Linked DNA regions of Saccharomyces cerevisiae S288C. The protein of the gene in region 1 interacts with the protein of each later gene in a biochemical or structural test. Each region holds a gene or a part of one and is shown in the gene's direction. Other genes may lie near its edges. The genes, in order: MSO1 and SSO1.

Region 1 (4,197 bases):
GAGAGAAAAGTTTTTTGACTGATTTTCGACTTGCTTTTATACCGATTTTGAAAAGTCGCGGGGAAAAGCTGGCAATTATTTTTCATTTTTTTTCATTAGGGCTAGAAGTTGCTAAGAGCAAACAAACTGTTACTTGAAAGGTTTTCCCACGTTGGTAGCTACATATGCAAGAGTCTTATGTATCGTATCTAAGTGCCACGTAGGGGATTCCCATCATTTGATGATTTCCAAATATAATACCTGTAGAGAGCGGTGGAGCAAAAGTCAAATTTTAATCGCAACTGCAGACAAGTCAAGCTGAGGAAATTGTGGATGATCTCTTGTTTCTTTTGATATTCACCACAACAGAAGTGAAGAGTGTGATTGCGGTTACTACTGACCACGAAGCAATGCGTTTAGTAGTGAAAAGAATTACTCATACTCTGGAATCGAAATTCCGTTGGAAAAATTCGCTTTGTAGTGAAAAATAAAGATGTCAATAAAGGGTATTGAGAATTTCCAATGGAATTATCAGCAATAGATGATAGAAAGTAGCACAGAATTTGGCTTAATGGTATATAAACCGTAGGGTCCTGGTAAAATTACATGGGAAGGATCCTTAGGCAGTAGGGAAAACTTATCAGGACAATTGAGTTATATTAACGTATTATATATTTTAATATGGGAAAGAACGTTTTGTTGCTAGGATCTGGTTTTGTTGCACAACCTGTTATCGACACATTGGCTGCTAATGATGACATCAATGTCACTGTCGCATGTAGAACATTAGCCAATGCGCAAGCATTGGCCAAGCCCTCTGGATCCAAGGCTATTTCATTGGATGTTACCGATGACAGTGCCTTAGACAAAGTTCTGGCTGATAACGATGTTGTCATCTCTTTGATTCCATACACCTTCCATCCAAATGTGGTAAAGAGCGCCATCAGAACAAAGACCGATGTCGTCACTTCCTCTTACATCTCACCTGCCTTAAGAGAATTGGAACCAGAAATCGTAAAGGCAGGTATTACAGTTATGAACGAAATTGGGTTGGATCCAGGTATCGACCACTTGTATGCGGTCAAGACTATTGATGAAGTTCACAGAGCTGGTGGTAAGCTAAAGTCATTCTTGTCATACTGTGGTGGTTTACCAGCTCCTGAAGACTCTGATAATCCATTAGGATACAAATTTTCATGGTCCTCCAGAGGTGTGCTACTGGCTTTAAGAAACTCTGCTAAATACTGGAAAGACGGAAAGATTGAAACTGTTTCTTCCGAAGACTTAATGGCCACTGCTAAGCCTTACTTCATCTACCCAGGTTATGCATTCGTTTGCTACCCAAATAGAGACTCTACCCTTTTCAAGGATCTTTATCATATTCCAGAAGCCGAAACGGTCATTAGAGGTACTTTGAGATATCAAGGTTTCCCAGAATTTGTTAAGGCTTTAGTTGACATGGGTATGTTGAAGGATGATGCTAACGAAATCTTCAGCAAGCCAATTGCCTGGAACGAAGCACTAAAACAATATTTAGGTGCCAAGTCTACTTCTAAAGAAGATTTGATTGCTTCCATTGACTCAAAGGCTACTTGGAAAGATGATGAAGATAGAGAAAGAATCCTTTCCGGGTTTGCTTGGTTAGGCTTGTTCTCTGACGCAAAGATCACACCAAGAGGTAATGCTTTAGACACTCTATGTGCACGTTTAGAAGAACTAATGCAATATGAAGACAATGAAAGAGATATGGTTGTACTACAACACAAATTCGGTATTGAATGGGCTGATGGAACTACCGAAACAAGAACATCCACTTTAGTTGACTATGGTAAGGTTGGTGGTTACAGTTCTATGGCCGCTACTGTTGGTTATCCAGTTGCCATTGCAACGAAATTCGTCTTAGATGGTACAATCAAGGGACCAGGCTTACTAGCGCCATACTCACCAGAGATTAATGATCCAATCATGAAAGAACTAAAGGACAAGTACGGCATCTATCTAAAGGAAAAGACAGTGGCTTAAATAAGAAGAAATGTATCAAAAGGTTTATCATACGTAACAGTAACGGCACTTTATAAATCTTTCTTTAGTATTACTTATACTTTCATAAGGAAACGTAAAAAAAAAAAAACCGGAAAGAGGGACAAAATGGACTAGAACGTAATTGAGAGTGTAGTTCCTGAAGCTTGAACCGCTAGTAAGTCGTCTACCTTTAGTCTAAAAAGTATTGGCTATTGCATTTTATAGTCTTGCTTCTGATCAGAACGTATTAAATGAGCTCGTAAAGACTCTTAGGAGTTTTTCACTTTTAGAGATTAATACTATTAGGAAAGGTGCAAAAAAATAAAACGCCAACTAACTATTAGACGCTAGGCCCTAATACCAACTACCAGTATAACTAAGATTTCACGCATATGATGAGTCAAGTATCGCATTCCCAAGAAGGATCCGGGCGATTTTGGAACAAGTTTAAGTCGTCAACCAAATCGTTATCTACATCGTTGGCACATTTATCCATTAAAGCAGAAAAAGATGGTGATACTGTAAATACTACATTGGTCCATAAAGGGCTTGTGAAATTCTATGAAAATCAGCATCCTTTCCAGGGGTTCCCAGGATGGTTGGGGGAGAAGGAAGATTTACCGAACGAACGTAAAATATTAGATACTCAAGTGAAGCATGATATGAAGAAGCAAAACTCGCGTCATTTCTCGCCATCCTTTTCTAACAGAAGGAAGGCTTCTTCAGAAGATCCTATGGGTACACCTTCTTCAAACGGGAACACACCGGAGTACACGCCTGCGAGTAAATCGTTTCAAGATATATACAATAATCATACAAGCTCCTCTAGCGCGACACCGAGAAGAGCTTCATCACGGCCGACTAGACCTTCAGCAGGCCAAGAATTCAGGGCAAGTCTCGGTCGAAGTAAAACGTCGAACAGTTTCAACACCTCCAGCACGCCAACGCCGCCACCAGACGCAAGTAGTGGAGTAATGGCAATGAAGGACAGACTAAAGAGACGCAATAACGATTATGGATTTTAAATAGCACTATACCTTGCTGAAATAAAGCGAAAAGAACATTTAATGAATATATAGGTATCGTATATGTACTGAATAAAGTGTTTGATACAGAATGCAAGGAGATAATATAGTATGGTATATAACCTCGTCCTTATTTTGAATATACATGAAATTACAACGCTTCCCTAGAGACCGAATCAAACGCAGGGATTTTATAGTAAATGATAATCAATCATAAAATTTCTCTCAATGGAATACTAACGACACTACTCTCATCGAATGGGGTATCGCTGTTCTCAAAATTTAGGTAGCTATGATCATGCATAGGTCTTGGTTTGAAGATGACTTTTATCAGGAATAGTATGGCGAAAAGAGTTGCAATCCCGGCAACAATCAAATAAACAATCCCTAATGCCTCGTTTCCAGCACCGATAATACTGTTTGTGGTTAATACAAAAGATTTTGTTCCATAGAAAGATCTTACTGGGTAGTTGAGTTCTATATCAGCAATGTAAATACCCTTACCTAACCCATTGGTCTCATTTTTCATTGCTAGCTTATAGAAGTTGGGCAATGCAGCAGTTCTCATCCATATTTTGAACTGTTCCCAGTTTTGTAGGTCTGGAATGTTATCGTCAGTGTAGCCATTGGGAAATAACTTGGCCCAATTTGGGGGCGGTACGATATCGGATGCATTGTATTCGGTCTTTCCATATCTGTGGCTGTCGGTGTCCCACGCAATACCTTTTGTGGTAAGCAAATAATCTGCAGTATCGTTTACACCAGTAAGTGTTGTGCCGAATGTATCATTGAACATCGAATTTGCTATCAATCCACAGGGGAATATGGTCTTATTTTCTACCGTCCTTAAAGGGTCACAGTTTGGATCCAGATCATTTCCGATCAATGCTTTTCCTTTTAATTGGTCTAGGTCAAGAGATTGCACATATTCTCTATAGTTTTGATTGAAATTTGTTAGGCGGTAATAAACATAAGTAGATTTCTTGATATGATTTGGAACTTCGAACTGTATTCGACAAGTTTGATTGCCTAATTCAGGATCCGTAAGTACCATCCATTGAGGTTGGACTGCGACTTTCTTACTGAAGTGGTAGTCCACGTACTCGGAGGGAATCGTTTCAAAATGCTTCGCCGGTGCCAATGCATCACATTCTGTGTAGTTTACCACTAG
Region 2 (11,943 bases), on another chromosome or scaffold:
TTGCTTTGCTATATTTATTTTTTTTTTTCTTACGAGTAAAGAAGAAAATATTAGGTTATCTATGTTCCTTTTTCTAACTAATCACTCTTTCACTAAAGAATATTTCTTAGCAAAAATATGCGTACCTGCGTACCGGGTAAAAAGTCGCATTGTCCAAGTGCTGCTGCTTTTACGCAAAAGAACACATCTAACCGAAGAGGAATAAGCAGACCTGAACAATACCAAATAAAGAAGTTACTTCTTCTTTATCACCATTTTGACAGGTTTCTACATTTTTTTTTCCGTAGAGGGAAAACATATAAAAGCAGTCCAGTAATTGCTTGCTTTTTGAAATGGCTCTTTAAGCCTGAAAGCACAAGACGATTAGTGATATAGATAATATATACACAGATACACATGTACGTACATAAGTACTGATTTAGGCTGCAACCTTTTACCTGGCTCAACTGACACGAATATTTTGTTATCAGCCAAAATAAACGTTCATGATATATAGTGAGAAAAAAAGATCGATGGGACGACTCGCGGCCATTCCTTGTGCGTGCAGGAATCAAGAAAATAAACAAACCGGTACAGTACAATAAGCAGGCTGAGTAGGCGGAAAAAGTTTTATTCAGACGTGTACCGGAGCCTAAATCCTTTCTTACCCATAGCAACCACACTAAATATATTATTGTAACACGAGAAGATGTCACAAGGTCAGTCCAAAAAACTGGACGTAACTGTTGAGCAGCTTCGAAGTATATACCACCAGTTTCATGATATCTTGGAAGAAAAAACTGATTTGCATCTACCGAAGAAAGAATACGACGATGACGCTGTTAGGAGAGAGGTTCAGATACAGTTACAAGAATTTCTTTTGAGCGCTATGACGATGGCTTCGAAGTCACTAGAAGTTGTCAACGCCGACACGGTAGGAAAGACGGTAAAGCAATTGATCATGGAATCACAAGAGAAGTACATGGAGCCCTTTGACCTTGACCTGAATGAGCAAGTTAGAAAGATGTACCAAGAGTGGGAAGACGAAACCGTTAAGGTGGCCCAGTTGAGGCAAACGGGGCCTGCAAAAATCAACGAAGTTTACAACAACTCAAAGGATGAGTATTTGGCACAATTGGATGGGAGAATCGGCGTTCTTCAAGCTAGAATGATGCAGCAACAATCTGCTGACCATGATGATAGTACCGACGATGCCGATGATCACATCAACTGGGAGCACATCAAGCAGGATTACGTTGCCTCACTCAATGAATTGTATCAAACACAGCAAGACCTACCCAAGGTAAGATATAACGTTGAAAAGGTCAAGCGCTTAATGGACTTCCTGGAGGAGGATTGAATAAATAACATATAAGACAGTCAACCTCGTGGTAAATGATAACTATATTCTGGGGCTTTATTCATTTTTTTACACTTTTTTATCTTTGTACGAAGAGCTGAAAATAAAAAAGTATAGAGCCAGCCTTTTCCCACACACTAACGACAAAAGACGATATGCAGGCTGTGCGCATGGGGGAGAATCCAGTTTTTGCCCGTTAAAGAGAAAAAATTAGTGTCTGTGAAACGCGAATACAAAAAAAGAAAAGTAGCAGGATCTTACTTCTCGTAAAGACGTCAAGAACCAAATCAAGTCAAATCGTGGAAGTTACAAGGGGAAAGACCAATAACTTTTAGTAAAGAACAAAGAAAGGTCTATCTCACGCAGTGACGGTCTTTGCGGTAAATCTGTGTATACTTGAAAGAAAACCCTTTTACAATTAAAAAAGGCAATTAAAAATAGAAACAAATCAAATGAGTTATAATAATCCGTACCAGTTGGAAACCCCTTTTGAAGAGTCATACGAGTTGGACGAAGGTTCGAGCGCTATCGGTGCTGAAGGCCACGATTTCGTGGGCTTCATGAATAAGATCAGTCAAATCAATCGCGATCTCGATAAGTACGACCATACCATCAACCAGGTCGATTCTTTGCATAAGAGGCTACTGACCGAAGTTAATGAGGAGCAAGCAAGTCACTTAAGGCACTCCCTGGACAACTTCGTCGCACAAGCCACGGACTTGCAGTTCAAACTGAAAAATGAGATTAAAAGTGCCCAAAGGGATGGGATACATGACACCAACAAGCAAGCTCAGGCGGAAAACTCCAGACAAAGATTTTTGAAGCTTATCCAGGACTACAGAATTGTGGATTCCAACTACAAGGAGGAGAATAAAGAGCAAGCCAAGAGGCAGTATATGATCATTCAACCAGAGGCCACCGAAGATGAAGTTGAAGCAGCCATAAGCGATGTAGGGGGCCAGCAGATCTTCTCACAAGCATTGTTGAATGCTAACAGACGTGGGGAAGCCAAGACTGCTCTTGCGGAAGTCCAGGCAAGGCACCAAGAGTTATTGAAACTAGAAAAATCCATGGCAGAACTTACTCAATTGTTTAATGACATGGAAGAACTGGTAATAGAACAACAAGAAAACGTAGACGTCATCGACAAGAACGTTGAAGACGCTCAACTCGACGTAGAACAGGGTGTCGGTCATACCGATAAAGCCGTCAAGAGTGCCAGAAAAGCAAGAAAGAACAAGATTAGATGTTGGTTGATTGTATTCGCCATCATTGTAGTCGTTGTTGTTGTCGTTGTTGTCCCAGCCGTTGTCAAAACGCGTTAATTCCAACTATTTTCTATATTTCTATTCTATCCGAACTCCCCTTTTGTATATCAATATATCTTAATACTTTCGCCTATTCTTTACTATATTTCCTAAATTTTCTCTGGTCTGCAGGCCAAAAACAACAACTTACTACTGAATCATGGACGTGTATTTAGTTTAGCCAAGCAATATTTAAATATCACTCTTCCTAAAAATACATTGGGCATTACCCGCAAACTAACCCATCGCTTAGCAAAATCCAACCATTTTTTTTTTATCTCCCGCGTTTTCACATGCTACCTCATTCGCCTCGTAACGTTACGACCGAAATCTCACTAAGGCACGGTTTGTTGGGCAGTTTACAGATGTTGGATAACCAGTTGTTTCTAAACGGTTATGCCTCATATATAACTTGTTAACTGAAGGTTACACAAGACCACATCACCACTGTCGTGCTTTTCTAATAACCGCTATATTAGACGTTTAAAGGGCTACAGCAACACCAATTGAAATACCATCATTATGAAGCCGGAAGTTGAGCAAGAATTAGCTCATATTTTGCTAACTGAATTGTTAGCTTATCAATTTGCCTCTCCTGTGAGATGGATTGAAACTCAAGATGTTTTTTTGAAGGATTTTAACACTGAAAGGGTTGTTGAAATCGGTCCTTCTCCAACTTTGGCTGGGATGGCTCAAAGAACCTTGAAGAATAAATACGAATCTTACGATGCTGCTCTGTCTTTACATAGAGAAATCTTATGCTATTCGAAGGATGCCAAAGAGATTTATTATACCCCAGATCCATCCGAACTAGCTGCAAAGGAAGAGCCCGCTAAGGAAGAAGCTCCTGCTCCAACTCCAGCTGCTAGTGCTCCTGCTCCTGCAGCAGCAGCCCCAGCTCCCGTCGCGGCAGCAGCCCCAGCTGCAGCAGCTGCTGAGATTGCCGATGAACCTGTCAAGGCTTCCCTATTGTTGCACGTTTTGGTTGCTCACAAGTTGAAGAAGTCGTTAGATTCCATTCCAATGTCCAAGACAATCAAAGACTTGGTCGGTGGTAAATCTACAGTCCAAAATGAAATTTTGGGTGATTTAGGTAAAGAATTTGGTACTACTCCTGAAAAACCAGAAGAAACTCCATTAGAAGAATTGGCAGAAACTTTCCAAGATACCTTCTCTGGAGCATTGGGTAAGCAATCTTCCTCGTTATTATCAAGATTAATCTCATCTAAGATGCCTGGTGGGTTTACTATTACTGTCGCTAGAAAATACTTACAAACTCGCTGGGGACTACCATCTGGTAGACAAGATGGTGTCCTTTTGGTAGCTTTATCTAACGAGCCTGCTGCTCGTCTAGGTTCTGAAGCTGATGCCAAGGCTTTCTTGGACTCCATGGCTCAAAAATACGCTTCCATTGTTGGTGTTGACTTATCATCAGCTGCTAGCGCTAGTGGTGCTGCCGGTGCAGGTGCTGCTGCCGGTGCAGCTATGATCGATGCTGGCGCTCTGGAAGAAATAACCAAAGACCACAAGGTTTTGGCGCGTCAACAACTGCAAGTATTGGCTCGTTATCTAAAAATGGACTTGGATAACGGTGAAAGAAAGTTCTTGAAAGAAAAGGACACTGTTGCTGAACTTCAAGCTCAGTTGGATTACTTGAATGCCGAATTAGGTGAATTCTTTGTTAACGGTGTTGCTACTTCTTTCTCTAGAAAAAAGGCCAGAACCTTCGATTCTTCCTGGAACTGGGCTAAACAATCTTTATTATCATTATACTTTGAGATAATTCATGGTGTCTTGAAAAACGTTGATAGAGAGGTTGTTAGTGAAGCTATCAATATCATGAACAGATCTAACGATGCTTTGATTAAATTCATGGAATACCATATCTCTAACACTGATGAAACAAAAGGTGAAAACTATCAATTGGTTAAAACTCTTGGTGAGCAGTTGATTGAAAACTGTAAACAAGTTTTGGATGTTGATCCAGTTTACAAAGATGTTGCTAAGCCTACCGGTCCAAAAACTGCTATTGACAAGAACGGTAACATTACATACTCAGAAGAGCCAAGAGAAAAGGTTAGGAAATTATCTCAATACGTACAAGAAATGGCCCTTGGTGGTCCAATCACCAAAGAATCTCAACCTACTATTGAAGAGGATTTGACTCGTGTTTACAAGGCAATCAGTGCTCAAGCTGATAAACAAGATATTTCCAGCTCCACCAGGGTTGAATTTGAAAAACTATATAGTGATTTGATGAAGTTCTTGGAAAGCTCCAAAGAAATCGATCCTTCTCAAACAACCCAATTGGCCGGTATGGATGTTGAGGATGCTTTGGACAAAGATTCCACCAAAGAAGTTGCTTCTTTGCCAAACAAATCTACCATTTCTAAGACGGTATCTTCAACTATTCCAAGAGAAACTATTCCGTTCTTACATTTGAGAAAGAAGACTCCTGCCGGAGATTGGAAATATGACCGCCAATTGTCTTCTCTTTTCTTAGATGGTTTAGAAAAGGCTGCCTTCAACGGTGTCACCTTCAAGGACAAATACGTCTTGATCACTGGTGCTGGTAAGGGTTCTATTGGTGCTGAAGTCTTGCAAGGTTTGTTACAAGGTGGTGCTAAGGTTGTTGTTACCACCTCTCGTTTCTCTAAGCAAGTTACAGACTACTACCAATCCATTTACGCCAAATATGGTGCTAAGGGTTCTACTTTGATTGTTGTTCCATTCAACCAAGGTTCTAAGCAAGACGTTGAAGCTTTGATTGAATTTATCTACGACACTGAAAAGAATGGTGGTTTAGGTTGGGATCTAGATGCTATTATTCCATTCGCGGCCATTCCAGAACAAGGTATTGAATTAGAACATATTGATTCTAAGTCTGAATTTGCTCATAGAATCATGTTGACCAATATCTTAAGAATGATGGGTTGTGTCAAGAAGCAAAAATCTGCAAGAGGTATTGAAACAAGACCAGCTCAAGTCATTCTACCAATGTCTCCAAACCATGGTACTTTCGGTGGTGATGGTATGTATTCAGAATCCAAGTTGTCTTTGGAAACTTTGTTCAACAGATGGCACTCTGAATCCTGGGCCAATCAATTAACCGTTTGCGGTGCTATTATTGGTTGGACTAGAGGTACTGGTTTAATGAGCGCTAATAACATCATTGCTGAAGGCATTGAAAAGATGGGTGTTCGTACTTTCTCTCAAAAGGAAATGGCTTTCAACTTATTGGGTCTATTGACTCCAGAAGTCGTAGAATTGTGCCAAAAATCACCTGTTATGGCTGACTTGAATGGTGGTTTGCAATTTGTTCCTGAATTGAAGGAATTCACTGCTAAATTGCGTAAAGAGTTGGTTGAAACTTCTGAAGTTAGAAAGGCAGTTTCCATCGAAACTGCTTTGGAGCATAAGGTTGTCAATGGCAATAGCGCTGATGCTGCATATGCTCAAGTCGAAATTCAACCAAGAGCTAACATTCAACTGGACTTCCCAGAATTGAAACCATACAAACAGGTTAAACAAATTGCTCCCGCTGAGCTTGAAGGTTTGTTGGATTTGGAAAGAGTTATTGTAGTTACCGGTTTTGCTGAAGTCGGCCCATGGGGTTCGGCCAGAACAAGATGGGAAATGGAAGCTTTTGGTGAATTTTCGTTGGAAGGTTGCGTTGAAATGGCCTGGATTATGGGCTTCATTTCATACCATAACGGTAATTTGAAGGGTCGTCCATACACTGGTTGGGTTGATTCCAAAACAAAAGAACCAGTTGATGACAAGGACGTTAAGGCCAAGTATGAAACATCAATCCTAGAACACAGTGGTATCAGATTGATCGAACCAGAGTTATTCAATGGTTACAACCCAGAAAAGAAGGAAATGATTCAAGAAGTCATTGTCGAAGAAGACTTGGAACCATTTGAGGCTTCGAAGGAAACTGCCGAACAATTTAAACACCAACATGGTGACAAAGTGGATATCTTCGAAATCCCAGAAACAGGAGAGTACTCTGTTAAGTTACTAAAGGGTGCCACTTTATACATTCCAAAGGCTTTGAGATTTGACCGTTTGGTTGCAGGTCAAATTCCAACTGGTTGGAATGCTAAGACTTATGGTATCTCTGATGATATCATTTCTCAGGTTGACCCAATCACATTATTCGTTTTGGTCTCTGTTGTGGAAGCATTTATTGCATCTGGTATCACCGACCCATACGAAATGTACAAATACGTACATGTTTCTGAGGTTGGTAACTGTTCTGGTTCTGGTATGGGTGGTGTTTCTGCCTTACGTGGTATGTTTAAGGACCGTTTCAAGGATGAGCCTGTCCAAAATGATATTTTACAAGAATCATTTATCAACACCATGTCCGCTTGGGTTAATATGTTGTTGATTTCCTCATCTGGTCCAATCAAGACACCTGTTGGTGCCTGTGCCACATCCGTGGAATCTGTTGACATTGGTGTAGAAACCATCTTGTCTGGTAAGGCTAGAATCTGTATTGTCGGTGGTTACGATGATTTCCAAGAAGAAGGCTCCTTTGAGTTCGGTAACATGAAGGCCACTTCCAACACTTTGGAAGAATTTGAACATGGTCGTACCCCAGCGGAAATGTCCAGACCTGCCACCACTACCCGTAACGGTTTTATGGAAGCTCAAGGTGCTGGTATTCAAATCATCATGCAAGCTGATTTAGCTTTGAAGATGGGTGTGCCAATTTACGGTATTGTTGCCATGGCTGCTACCGCCACCGATAAGATTGGTAGATCTGTGCCAGCTCCAGGTAAGGGTATTTTAACCACTGCTCGTGAACACCACTCCAGTGTTAAGTATGCTTCACCAAACTTGAACATGAAGTACAGAAAGCGCCAATTGGTTACTCGTGAAGCTCAGATTAAAGATTGGGTAGAAAACGAATTGGAAGCTTTGAAGTTGGAGGCCGAAGAAATTCCAAGCGAAGACCAAAACGAGTTCTTACTTGAACGTACCAGAGAAATCCACAACGAAGCTGAAAGTCAATTGAGAGCTGCACAACAACAATGGGGTAACGACTTCTACAAGAGGGACCCACGTATTGCTCCATTGAGAGGAGCACTGGCTACTTACGGTTTAACTATTGATGACTTGGGTGTCGCTTCATTCCACGGTACATCCACAAAGGCTAATGACAAGAACGAATCTGCCACAATTAATGAAATGATGAAGCATTTGGGTAGATCTGAAGGTAATCCCGTCATTGGTGTTTTCCAAAAGTTCTTGACTGGTCATCCAAAGGGTGCTGCTGGTGCATGGATGATGAATGGTGCTTTGCAAATTCTAAACAGTGGTATTATTCCAGGTAACCGTAACGCTGATAACGTGGATAAGATCTTGGAGCAATTTGAATACGTCTTGTACCCATCCAAGACTTTAAAGACCGACGGTGTCAGAGCCGTGTCCATCACTTCTTTCGGTTTTGGTCAAAAGGGTGGTCAAGCTATTGTGGTTCATCCAGACTACTTATACGGTGCTATCACTGAAGACAGATACAACGAGTATGTCGCCAAGGTTAGTGCCAGAGAGAAAAGTGCCTACAAATTCTTCCATAATGGTATGATCTACAACAAGTTGTTCGTAAGTAAAGAGCATGCTCCATACACTGATGAATTGGAAGAGGATGTTTACTTGGACCCATTAGCCCGTGTATCTAAGGATAAGAAATCAGGCTCCTTGACTTTCAACTCTAAAAACATCCAAAGCAAGGACAGTTACATCAATGCTAACACCATTGAAACTGCCAAGATGATTGAAAACATGACCAAGGAGAAAGTCTCTAACGGTGGCGTCGGTGTAGATGTTGAATTAATCACTAGCATCAACGTTGAAAATGATACTTTTATCGAGCGCAATTTCACCCCGCAAGAAATAGAGTACTGCAGCGCGCAGCCTAGTGTGCAAAGCTCTTTCGCTGGGACATGGTCCGCCAAAGAGGCTGTTTTCAAGTCCTTAGGCGTCAAGTCCTTAGGCGGTGGTGCTGCATTGAAAGACATCGAAATCGTACGCGTTAACAAAAACGCTCCAGCCGTTGAACTGCACGGTAACGCCAAAAAGGCTGCCGAAGAAGCTGGTGTTACCGATGTGAAGGTATCTATTTCTCACGATGACCTCCAAGCTGTCGCGGTCGCCGTTTCTACTAAGAAATAGAGAGAGCACTACGTAGTCCCTCTTTTAATATGTAACGTGTCGCTTCTATTTATCAGACATAATAGTAATTACTTTGTTATTTTTCTATCGTTTCCTTACTTTAGCCTCTGATTTCGATCTGGCCTAATCATTGTGTACGTCTATAATCATATGGCCCTGAGCGTACACACCGTTCAATTCTTCTATTTGGTCGGCCCACACAAATTCGCGCGGGGGCATATTGACGCGTGGAAGAATAGAAGTCCGCGTAGCAGCTCTGGGGTAATTAGGCTTTTACGATATCGGCTGGCCCAGCACCGGTTTTTATTCCTCCCGTGGTTGTTGTCTCTACCGTGAGGAGGGGAAAGGGTCAGGGACGGCCGGTAGTTATGTTGTCTCAACGATTACTGCCATCTATTGTTTACACCAATCGCGTGGGGCAAGGGGCTGGAAGGCTGTGGTGTACAGAATAGGGTCTAATACCCGATGCGCGACGCTCCTGCGACTGGTTGTGTGAGCCACCCCTTGATCGCCTCTGCCAAATACTCAGGGAAGAGAAAAATCGCGAAGGTGGACGAGTGCCCTTAAAGAACCAGCATCCTCGATCGCCGCTGCCGTTCGCCCTGGCTTAGCGGTGGGAAGCATCCTTTGGCTTTCGAATTCTCCGCCGTTGAGTCCCCCTAAGGGCCTTATTTATCCCCTCTATTTTTTTTTAGAAAATGTTTTCTTTTTCAAGATTTGTTTGCTCCTTCACGGCTTCCCCCTTAACCGTTCAACAGTCTTCCGTATATAACAATCTCAATCCACTCTTATTGCCTATAATTTTGATTAATTCTTATTCATCCCGGCAGATAAAGTTTCGTCTTGTTTTGAAAGAGACAGGAGTTCTTGGCTGCAGTATTTTGCAACAGCTTCATTAACCATGTATGTAAAGAAAAAATCTGGAGCGACTTACTGGCTTAGCTTTTTTTACTAACACATAAATAATACTGTGATAAGATAAGAAAAAAACACGAAATGGAAAATACCACGAATCGTAATACTGCAGGCGTTCTTACGAGCAGCAATGGTAACTTTGCCACCAATAGTGTAGCGGCATCAACTCCGAAGAGGTCCAAAAGTGCTCGAAGGAAAACGTTCAAATGCACCGGATATGACGGTTGTACGATGTCCTTCACTAGAGCGGAACATCTTGCACGTCATATAAGAAAGCACACTGGTGAAAAGCCGTTCCAGTGTCCTGCATGTTTGAAATTCTTCAGTAGAGTTGATAATTTGAAACAGCATCGGGAATCGGTCCATGCACATAAAAACCACCATTCTACCAGCTCGCACCAGCGTAAGCCTTCCTCTTCATCTTTATCCTCCTCTTCTTCTGCATCTTCTTCGTCTTCTGCTTCATCATCTACATCATATAGTGATCCTTACAGGAAAACTAATATTAATAGCGGGAACATGCCGATGATGGCAGAAAACGAAAAAGCGCCCCAAATAATACATTCTTCGCCGGAGTTCATTACTAGCACGAGAAGCATCCCACCCATCTCTCCAAGGTCCATTTATAATACCCAACGACAGCAACAACACCAACAACAACAGCATCAACAGGCTCCCTATTATTTTCCTTCCCATCCAATCACTGATAGTTACTACCAGTATCCTCTTCCCAGTAATAATAACACCATCAATTATTTACCATCAGTAGATGTGCAGTATCCTTTGAATGTGAGCCCCTCCTCAACGAGCCATCCGGCCTCTGAGGTAATCATATCGTCCTTTCCTCCGAGGTCCATGCCAAGTACTTCCTTCAAATATAAAGATTCTGCCGACTTTCAAGCACGGACAACTATGAACAAATACAATATTAGACCAAGCAATATCAATGTCAATACTAGTAATATCAATAACCATCTTGATTCATTCTCCCCGCCGTTTTCTCCGTCAACGACAGTTGCTGAAGCAAAACCAATTATTTTACCACAGTATCAGCAGGCATTTAGCCAACCACCAAATGGAAATAAAAACAATAATATGTCTTCCTCGAAGAATGGCGGCAAAGGGGGAGAAAATTTCAAGAATACTGATGATCGCAATGATAATAATAACAAAAAGAGGTCGGAAACTTTATCAGAGTCTGATATTTCGGTCAACACCAATAAGAAAAGGCTTAGTGTTGATTACATATTGACTTGATCGAGGCAATCTGATCTAAGTTTCAAATATTCCGTAGAGTATAAATATCTTACAACTAATATAATTCTTAATATGCGCAAACAAATTATGGTGCGCATCTTTTTTTATTTTTATGTTTTGTTCCATACTAAATGCAGTTTATAAAATTTTTCAAATGAGTCAAGCTATGTATAATCAGTGCTACAAAAATGATAAGATGCAATTGCAAGAAAAAATCCCTTGCATAAAGGGCTTTCTGACCTCTTGCGTTGATCAACGAGAAATAACCGCAAAACTTAATTTTAAACTCCCGCGTCTGCTTTACACAGCCCACAGTAGCATCAAAAACTACGATGTAACACTAACGGTGGATTGTGAATACGGAACGAACAATCCTGCATCTTGACTTCAAAACTTGATCATATACACCTATACCGCCATGGTTATCTCGCCCTTACGCTCACCCGGACCCCCGTTAATTGCAATAATAAGAAAAAGAAAAGAAAGAAGCTTTTTATCTCATTTCACTGACAAGATGACGCTTTTTCCGATTTTAGCAGATAAACTATCACATATAACCACTTTTTTATATTACATGAAATGATGCCCTACAACACCCCTCCAAATATCCAAGAACCTATGAACTTCGCAAGCAGCAACCCCTTTGGTATTATTCCAGATGCGCTCAGTTTCCAGAATTTCAAATATGATCGTCTTCAGCAGCAGCAACAGCAGCAGCAACAGCAGCAACAAAATCGCACTGCGTCATCGTTACAGCAGCCGCAACAGCAACAACCAATAAGCCCGCCTTTGTTTTTAGTAGGGGCCGGTACCAGCGAAAACTCAAACCTTAACAAGAATGCCAACACTAGTACTATCCCTCCTTTACTCTTTAGCAGATCGTCTCAGCATTATGTTGTCCCAGATATAGACCACTCCTCCATAATATACAAGAACAAC

Evidence for each region.
Region 2: the proteins of MSO1 (region 1) and SSO1 form a complex in vitro, tested with the Saccharomyces cerevisiae proteins (one study listed by BioGRID).

What each region holds. Positions count from the first base shown.
Region 1 is NC_001146.8:711,852-716,048, reverse strand, and holds MSO1 (Mso1p), read left to right. Parts: upstream 1-2,393; coding exon 2,394-3,026; downstream 3,027-4,197. Other genes in the region: LYS9 (saccharopine dehydrogenase (NADP+, L-glutamate-forming)), read left to right, coding at 661-2,001; YNR048W (putative aminophospholipid translocase regulatory protein), read right to left, coding at 3,238-4,197. UniProt on the Saccharomyces cerevisiae protein: Involved in secretion. Component of the secretory vesicle docking complex.
Region 2 is NC_001148.4:105,484-117,426, forward strand, and holds SSO1 (syntaxin), read left to right. Parts: upstream 1-1,791; coding exon 1,792-2,664; downstream 2,665-11,943. Other genes in the region: MIND complex subunit NSL1, read left to right, coding at 689-1,339; trifunctional fatty acid synthase subunit FAS2, read left to right, coding at 3,169-8,832; USV1 (Usv1p), read left to right, coding at 9,829-11,004; YPL229W (uncharacterized protein), read left to right, coding at 11,584-11,943. UniProt on the Saccharomyces cerevisiae protein: Required for vesicle fusion with the plasma membrane.